Arabidopsis thaliana: one gene and its partner. The protein of the gene in region 1 interacts with the protein of each later gene in a pairwise test. Each region holds a gene or a part of one and is shown on either strand. Other genes may lie near its edges.

Region 1 (5,347 bases):
TGTTCCTAATTACAACTTCTAACAGAGATCTTTGCAAATTTGAATTTTTAGTGAAACTCGATCTATGCTATTGTTTAAAGTTTACACCTTGTTTTGACTTTTGTGGTCATGATTCATGGTTGTTTTGCTTCTGTTCCAGGGTTCTTCGTTTTTCGAGTTTCATGAACCTGATGGTAATTACATTTCTATTTCTGTTCATGCTGTAGGAAAGAGGAATTTTTTATGTAACCACTCTGATAATACCTAAGCAAGAATCAACTTCTAATTCTGTGAGTTATCTTAGAAAGATTATCTCGATCATTTTGTGGTATTCAAAATGAGGTGCTTACTCAGGTGCTAAAATTGGCAGTGTCAGGCTATGAATGAAGTGGAAGTGTTTTCCATTCAAAACGAAAGAGAACTCTATCCCGTAGGATGGATTCATGTATATCTCTCTCTTCTAGCTCCCTCCATGTTTAGTGATCTGTTTATCTACTTTGTCTTGACTTACTATAACGAGGTTATGCATATTTTCCAGACTCATCCTTCTCAGGGTTGTTTCATGTCATCTGTAGATCTGCATACACATTATTCGTATCAGGTACATCTCTGCTGTTTCCAAATTGCATATATACTAGGTTTGAGACAATTCTGATCTCAGTTTCCCATCATGTCATTCTTAGGTAATGGTGCCAGAGGCTTTTGCAATCGTCGTAGCTCCAACTGATAGCTCTAAGTATGTTCTTCCAAAGCTATGGAGTCAATTATACAGTCAACATATTTCCTTGATAGACTCTCAAACTGATCTTTTTGGCAGGAGTTACGGGATATTTAAGCTAACGGACCCTGGAGGAATGGAGGTACTGAGAGGCTGCTCAGAGACTGGATTCCACCCGCACAAAGAACCAGAAGATGGGAACCCAGTTTATGAGCATTGCTCAAACGTCTACAAGAACTCGAACCTTAGGTTCGAGATTTTTGATCTACGTTAAGGTAACGACTTCTGTGGACTTATCAGTAAAAAGGTTCAAACTTTATCCACTGTGGGCTAAGGATGTCAATAATAACCGTCATCATAACCACCACCCTAACCAGAACTGTATACTTGGTCTGAGAAGGCTGTCTGATTCGGGTTATGAACACAAGGTACCTTCTATTAAGCTTAGCAATGTTAATAAATTGTCATGTCCTTAGATTTGGATCAATTGGTTCCATTATGGAAGAACAACAATGACCATAGACATAAGACATTGTATTGGCGTATGCAATTGTTATATATCTGTACAAATGTATACATTGGCATCTATTTCTCCATATAACACTACATTAATATTATCACCATATTTCGCCATTTTATACCTCTTAACTTGCCAGTGATGACTGATGAAAATGGTTGAGCTTTTAAAAAGGACGGGAAAATTTTAAACTTGAGCTTTGACTTGTTAAAAAATTATTCATTTTGACAGTTTTCGTCTGATTCAAGTTTCATTCTTTTCATTTCTCATTTGATTGATTAATTAGATACAAAATAGCCATAAATTAGCTGTAATAATAATTTAAAAGGTATCTTTGAGCTCTTTTTTGGTAAAGACATATTCCAAATACCTCTCTTCACATGAAACAAGAGTACAAACCCCAAAAACAGAACCAAAGGTCCAAACTTTTCTTTTGAAAGTAATAAAGCTATCAAAGCTCTTTCCTTGTTAAAGTAAATAGTACAGAGGATGGGTTTTATCAGAAAAAAAAAAGCTAGCTCATTTCATATTGTTGAGTGTTGCTATCAAAACCCATACAGATACAGTACTTTGTTTTGCTTCAAATCCCTTTATGGCCGTTTTCAAGCACATGATAGCTTTCTTCGTACAGTCAAGAGTAAAACCTCTCTTTTTCTTACCCTATCTTCTCTCTCTACAGATGTCACAGTCACCTCTGTCACGGATTTGGGTACAGAGACTCGCAGACGATTCACTCTTCTTTCTTTCTCTCTCTCTGGGTTTTAATTCAAAAAGTGAAGTTGGTTACCATTGTCTTGTACGATCGTATATTCCCGATATGATTTGTTTTGACAGAGCAACTGCTTTGTATATATATGCCAAATATCTCTCTCTCTCTCCCTCTCTCCTTGCATCAATTTATAAGTAAGACCAAAAGAGATCACCAAAACTCAGGCTTCTTGTTTGGCTTTTCTTATTGTTGATTGAGAGAGTGAGAGTAAGAGAGAGAGAGAGAGAGAGAGAGTGAGAGAGAGAGAGAGAGAGAGTGAGATGATGATGATGAGAGGTGGTGAGAGAGTGAAGGAGTTTCTTCGACCCTTTGTCGATTCCAGAACTTGGGACTTATGTGTTATCTGGAAACTCGGTGATGATCCTTCTAGGTTCAACACACTCTCCGGTTTTTCTTTGTTATTTGTTCGTTGTTCATGTGAATCATCATCAGCTGTCTACTATTTTGTTTCAGTAGCAAAGCTTCCGTTTTTATGTATACTGATGGGTTTTTCGTGTTTGTCTTTTATCTTTGCTTTCTGAATTAGGACTTTTTTTTTTGTTTTTGCTCTGTTATTGGCTTCCTGAAACTATTTTGTTTCAGTAGCAAAGTTTCCATTTTTTTGATTTTGATTAGTCCTTAGTAACTTCTGGCTCTGTTCTATCAAATTTCTCTGGTTTCTGTTTTTTTTTTTTTTTGCTCATCTGGTTTTTGATTTTAATGGTTTATGGTTTGTTTTGCTTTACCATCTACCTCCTGTTCTTGGTTTTGTCTTGTCTAGTTTTACTAAAAGTTTGTGGGTTTTATGATCTTCATCTCGTAATTGGTATGAATTCCATTTAAACTACAGGTTTATTGAATGGGTGGGATGCTGCTGCAGTGGTTGTTATATTGATAAGAATATAAAGCTTGAAAACTCAGAAGAAGGAGGAACTGGGAGAAAAAAGAAGGCTTCTTTCTGTAGAGATGACCACAACAAGCATCGTATAAGAACCTTAGCTTGTGAAGCGCTTTCTCGTTTTCCTCTCTTCATGCCTCTCTATCCCGGGTATGTTTCCATCTATTCAACCCCCTTTCAAGTTAATTTTTTCTTCAAGAATAATATGAAGCTTCTTTCTCAATTGCAGGATTCATGGAGAAGTAGTGATGTCAAAATCTCCAAAGTGGTTGGTTAATTCAGGATCTAAAATGGTAAAAAAGACTCTTTTCGTCAGCCTTTTTTACTCGTTTGATCATAAGAACAATCTGATCTCCATGTGTTTTGGCAGGAAATGTTCAGCACTCGTGTTCTTGTTCCTGTGAGTGATGGTCTCGTTGAGCTGTTCGCTTTCGATATGGTAAAAACATGTTAGCATTTCGCATAGAAAGTCTGTCATTGGTTTTGGTGGTTACTTCATAAAATGTTGGTCTGTATCAGAGACCGTTTGATGAAAGCATGGTGCATTTGATCATGTCGCGTTGTACCACCTTCTTTGAACCATTCCCTGAACAAAGGCTGCAGTTCAGGATCATTCCCCGAGCAGAGGAATCTATGAGTAGCGGTGTGAATCTCAGCGTTGAGGGCGGCGGATCATCAAGTGTTTCCAATCCCTCCAGTGAAACTCAGAATCTTTTCGGCAATTACCCGAATGCTAGTTGTGTGGAAATTCTCAGGGAGGAACAAACACCGTGTTTGATAATGAACAAGGAAAAGGATGTTGTGGTGCAAAATGCCAACGATTCCAAAGCTAATAAGAAGCTGCTTCCTACGGAAAACTTCAAATCAAAGAACCTTCATTCAGAGAGGAAAAGAAGAGAGAGAATTAATCAGGCCATGTATGGTCTAAGAGCCGTAGTCCCTAAAATCACAAAGGTTTCTTCTGAAACTCAATGCAGTTTCTGGATCACTCTTCTTGTGGTCAATGTAGCACTTTCCATAGGATTATTATATTTATCTTTCTTTGTGCTATATGCAGTTGAACAAAATTGGAATTTTCAGTGATGCTGTTGATTACATCAATGAACTGCTAGTGGAGAAGCAGAAACTTGAAGATGAGCTTAAAGGAATCAATGAGATGGAATGCAAAGAAATCGCTGCAGAGGAACAATCTGCAATAGCTGATCCAGAAGCTGAAAGAGTTTCCTCTAAAAGCAACAAGAGAGTGAAGAAAAACGAGGTATTATTCGAATATATAGACCTTCAAGATAATCTATATCTGAGTTGTAAAATCCCACAAACTCTGGTTTCTTTTCAGGTGAAAATTGAAGTCCACGAGACTGGTGAGCGAGATTTCTTGATTCGGGTTGTGCAGGAACATAAACAAGATGGATTCAAGAGGTTGATAGAAGCTGTAGATTTATGTGAACTTGAGATCATTGACGTCAATTTCACCAGACTCGATCTCACAGTCATGACCGTTCTCAATGTCAAGGTAGTAACGTAATCACATCTCATTGCCCCTGCACGTAATCTCAGATTCTTGAATTCTGATAAACAGTTTTGGATTTATTCATTCTTAGGCGAACAAAGACGGGATTGCATGTGGAATATTGAGAGATTTACTGCTCAAGATGATGATAACTTCAATATGAAAACTCAGTAAAACAGAGTACATAACCTCAAAAGGTCAAATGTTTTGTTTGCTTCAGTCACAAGTTACTGCTAGAGATATGATTTCTCACAAGCTTTTAGGTGACAGTTTACATGTTTGAAACTATACATTCTTCTGGTTTGTCATTGGGTTTTCATTAAGATCTTTCACAAATATAATTCTAAAGGGTCGTCGTCCCTAAGAACTAAGAAAAACAAAACACAACAACTTGAGTTTAATTTATTGGTTTCAATGGTTCCGGTGACTTGTGTTGAAGGCTCGGCTCTCAGATTCATATTCATGGCTAGTGGCGTAGTCTTGGCTAGGGTAGTAGCCAGTATTAGTACCAAGATCCGAGGAATCTTCAGAGGCTCGTCTGAAAATTCGAATCTCATTACTGTATTGACCGGAGTCGTAGACCCTACTTTGACCCACTTTAACTCCGTTTGTCAGATCCGACAAGTCATCTCTCGTGTCCAGAGCTCTAACAACCTGCAAAAAGAGAAACACTCTTGATCAATCAGATGGTTTGTTTCTTTTTCTAGCTGTATATTATTAGGTCAAGTCAAGAAGTGTTTCTATTTCTGACCTGAACCATACGAGGTCGTTTTAAAGCGGAATGTCTAACACAAGACGCTGCCGTTTCAATCATTTTATAGACTTCACTTTCGACGTAATCATTCTCTAGCCGTGGATCCACTACTTCGCTGATGTCACCTTTTTCAATGGCCTCGATTAGCCTTGGACGTGCCTGCCAAAAAACCAACAAATATTCAACCCTCATGAGATTTTTTCATTTATATTGAAAACACAAA
Region 2 (4,240 bases), 4.4 Mb from region 1:
TAACTTTTTTGGTTTTTGATGTTGAAAAGTAGTGACAAAAGATTTTTAATAGACCATCATTTTATAACATGCAAGTAAATATCTCGATTTAAATATATTTTTAATAACATCACGAAACAAATTTGTTAAAACCTGACATAAAGTGATCCCCACCGGCCAAAATAAATCTTCTATTGGTTGTGTATTTTCTGACAAACATTTGTTTTAAAGATTTTTAATTTTAATCGGATACTTAACCATATATTTGATATGGAAATACATTATATTTTTGTTTAAAGTAAAATAATAGAACATGAGTGTAACTAGACGACCCCCAACCTGCAAACAGATTATTTGGTCTTGTGGACTGGTCTACTACTATCTCACGTGCAAACTTGACGCTGCAATGTATACATTTATCTATATGCATCTATGTATCTAAATAGTAATTAGTAACCATAGATAATGGATCTAATTCCACGAAGTTGGATAGATATTCTAAGGTAATATCTGGTAGAATTTTAATTTTCAAACCAAAAAAATTGTTACCAGATGTGAATGCGTAGAACTAAAAATTAATTGGCGTAGACCGTCCTAACTGGAAACTCAAATAACTTTGTTTACAAGTAGCATGTAACTGTATATATATAATGCTTTAGAATTTTTATGGTCCAATTGAAAATTTCACATTTTCGTTTTATTGTATCACTCACTTGTCCGACTGACGTAGAATTGCACGTCTTAATTTTTTTTTGGCGAAAACGCTAATCCGCAACAAAAAAATTTGTTAAAGTAGTCCGTAACTTTTTTTTTGGTTAAAGTAATCCGCAACATGACATATTAGTACTAACGAACTATTGTTTTTTCTATTAATTTTTTGCTATATTTAGAATTTTAAGTAGTTTAGCCATCACCATCTGTGTATCCTTACACTATACATATTCGGAAAAACTCGAAAGAGGTTTTAACTGGTTATGATCACCACCAGCAGTCCAGCACCAGTTTTCTTTCACTCGAACGTCAATATAAATTCACTGCCCACTATATCAGCTTTACCATTTCTTAATAAATTATTTATTATTTATTTGATTTTGAACTAAGAAAGATTATGGGTTTTTAGGAATAGTTCCAAACAATTAACATCTTAATAATAAAATTACTATATAATAAAACTAATTTATATTAAAAACATTATGAACAATTTTTTTCTTTATTTTCTTAACCTCTAATTATTATGAACAAGTTATTTAAATACAATTGGGATGATTATTACAAGTGCACTTTATATCTCCTTTTCAGTGTTTTTTATATATATATTGGTGACAAATACATCTTTTCTTTAGTTTTATTTTTCTTTTCGTTTTTGATCTCTGCGGGAGCATTTATTTTTGGTCAACTGTGAGAGCATCAAAAAAAAAAAAAAAAAAATTAATAGCCTCACAAAGCTTCTCTCAATTCCCTTTTTAAATAAATCACACCACTTTGTTTGATCCTCATATTTCGGTTTTCACTCTCATATCTTTCTTTTGTATATTTATTTTTGTTGAAGATTCACTCTCCTATTCTTCCTCCATGCCGGTGAGTTCTTGAGAATTTAATATTTTGTAAATCAATTTACAAAAAATCTTCATATAACTAATACCATGCTTAGTTTCCTTTAGTGGGCTTAACCCTTTTGCCTTTATTTCCCCCTCGAGACAAAAAGGAGAGCGACAAACACTTCCTGTCTAAATTTTGTTTTCTCTCCTTCTCTCTCCCTCTCTCGGTTTCTCAATCTTTCTTATTTTTTCCATAATTCTGAATTTTTCTTTTCAACAATCTCCGGCTAAAAAATGCCCTTAGAGGCTGTCGTATACCCGCAAGATCCATTCGGATATCTCTCCAATTGCAAAGATTTTATGTTCCACGACTTATACTCTCAAGAAGAGTTCGTAGCTCAAGATACGAAGAACAACATTGATAAGTTAGGGCATGAACAGAGCTTTGTGGAACAAGGTAAGGAGGACGATCATCAATGGCGAGACTATCATCAGTATCCTTTGTTGATCCCTTCGTTGGGAGAAGAGCTTGGTCTTACCGCCATTGATGTGGAGAGTCATCCTCCTCCACAGCACCGGAGGAAGAGGAGGAGAACGAGAAACTGCAAGAACAAGGAAGAGATCGAGAACCAGAGAATGACTCACATCGCCGTCGAGAGAAATCGCCGGAAACAGATGAACGAGTATCTGGCTGTGCTCCGTTCTCTAATGCCGTCGTCGTATGCTCAAAGAGTAACTTACTAATTCAATGTTTATATATGCTATATATCATTTGGTCAGGGTCATTCTTAGGTATATGTGTCTTTGTTTTATTACTTGCTTGGCTGTAGTACTCATTTCTCCATAATATATTAACACAAAAGAATAGAATGAAAATGACTGAGAATATATATTGATGTTTTTATACAATATATTAACAAGAAAATCCACCGTAAATATGGAAGGGTGACGCGTTTATATACATACTAATAATCTTTGCTGTTACATATTTTAATGTATTTTTTAAAATAAAATATTATGTGTCACCAAAAATTAGAACGAGTATGATTGAGAATATTGGGATATGTTTTAGAACAATTTCGTAATAAACTTAAGCAATTAGCAATGATACGTGTGTGTGTATATTTATACATTCAAAGATTTTTTCAATCTTTATGATAACTATATGATCTGACATGAGCGGGTTTTGGTGGTAAAGGGAGATCAAGCGTCGATAGTAGGAGGAGCTATAAACTACGTGAAGGAGTTAGAGCATATTTTACAATCTATGGAGCCGAAGAGAACTAGGACTCATGATCCCAAAGGAGACAAGACTAGCACTAGCTCGTTAGTGGGTCCATTCACAGATTTTTTCAGCTTCCCACAATATTCTACAAAGTCATCATCAGATGTACCGGAAAGCTCATCTTCACCGGCGGAGATAGAGGTTACGGTGGCAGAAAGCCATGCGAACATCAAGATAATGACGAAGAAGAAACCGAGGCAGCTTCTTAAGCTCATAACTTCTTTACAAAGCCTAAGGCTCACTCTTCTTCATCTCAATGTCACCACTCTCCACAACTCCATTCTCTACTCCATCAGCGTCAGGGTACGTACATTTTCAACTTCTCATCATTACTTTGTTTGCTTTTGGGGTAATCATGAGATTAAAGTGAGTAATGACTGTGTGTGTGGTGCATATGGTTTCACTTTGTTGATTTATTTTTTTGTCTCTTATTGTTGGGGGGAAATTTTGGATTAGTACTATTGTGGTTATGCCTGGGCTTTAAAAAGGTTGTGAAGAAAAATTAAAATCATTCTCTTTGTTTTTTTCTTACCTCCTTTGGGTACTTAGGGCTGGGGCCTCAATAGTTGTGGGTCAAACTCATAATCATCATTTTGATTATTATTTTTGTCAATAATAAATTGCGTATCTTAATCGTGCCTGTAAGAATCAGGGGACCAACCTAAAGAAACGAAACACGAATATGTGTCTATCTATATCCACGAATTGTATACGTGGTGTTGTGTATTTATATATGTTTATGTATATGTTTATGTACTGTGGATATATGTTCGGTGGTCACATAATTGTAGATGAGATATGTACGGACAACGAAGTGAGTCCACCATTTGTTTCAGGAGATATTTAGCAAATAGAAAGATATTTTGTTATAGTTATCTACATCCTTCTAATTTTGTTTGTTGCAACTTTTTTCAAGAATTGTTATGTATATCTTTATTTCTTAAGAGAAAATGTGTTGGTTCAGGTTGAAGAAGGAAGCCAACTGAATACCGTGGACGACATTGCAACAGCTTTGAATCAAACCATAAGGAGGATTCAAGAAGAGACATAATTCAGCAAATAGATTATAATTAACTTGTTTTATTTTTATTTTATTTTGAAATAACTGAAATCAGTTTTCTAATTTTTTTTTTTTTTCACTATTCCTCTAATCCTCCCTATGTAAGTTGCATTTTTGTCTCTTGTAATGAATCAATGGTCATAAAGATCTGAACAAAAAAATTGAATAAAAGAAAATGGTTTAAGTCGATAAGTATGTGACATTGGGCGCTAATAGCCGTTAGGCCTACGCCTAATGTACTTCTCAGTGTTTTTAGGGTTGTGTTTAGTGTATAATTATAATGATTAATAGTATGATTGATTAATTTTTGAATTTATTTTCTTCAAAGATGAATTCGTCTTTTTCTAGAACTTTTAAAGTTTGTGGGTTCAACTTTTA

The links.
Region 2: the proteins of AT1G10610 (region 1) and AT1G22490 interact in a two-hybrid assay, tested with the Arabidopsis thaliana proteins (one large-scale study listed by BioGRID).

The regions. Positions count from the first base shown.
Region 1 is NC_003070.9:3,504,220-3,509,566, forward strand, and holds AT1G10610 (basic helix-loop-helix (bHLH) DNA-binding superfamily protein), read left to right. Parts: upstream 1-1,966; 5' UTR 1,967-2,243; coding exon 2,244-2,353; intron 2,354-2,659; exon of another isoform or gene 2,660-2,812; coding exon 2,813-3,010; intron 3,011-3,089; coding exon 3,090-3,153; intron 3,154-3,230; coding exon 3,231-3,299; intron 3,300-3,379; coding exon 3,380-3,814; intron 3,815-3,917; coding exon 3,918-4,118; intron 4,119-4,196; coding exon 4,197-4,373; intron 4,374-4,461; coding exon 4,462-4,533; 3' UTR 4,534-4,781; downstream 4,782-5,347. Other genes in the region: AMSH2 (associated molecule with the SH3 domain of STAM 2), read left to right, coding at 207-269, 350-424, 518-580, 663-715, 797-971; PERK11 (Protein kinase superfamily protein), read right to left, coding at 4,782-5,024, 5,122-5,283.
Region 2 is NC_003070.9:7,938,061-7,942,300, reverse strand, and holds AT1G22490 (basic helix-loop-helix (bHLH) DNA-binding superfamily protein), read left to right. Parts: upstream 1-1,675; 5' UTR 1,676-1,811; coding exon 1,812-2,249; intron 2,250-2,715; coding exon 2,716-3,258; 3' UTR 3,259-3,704; downstream 3,705-4,240.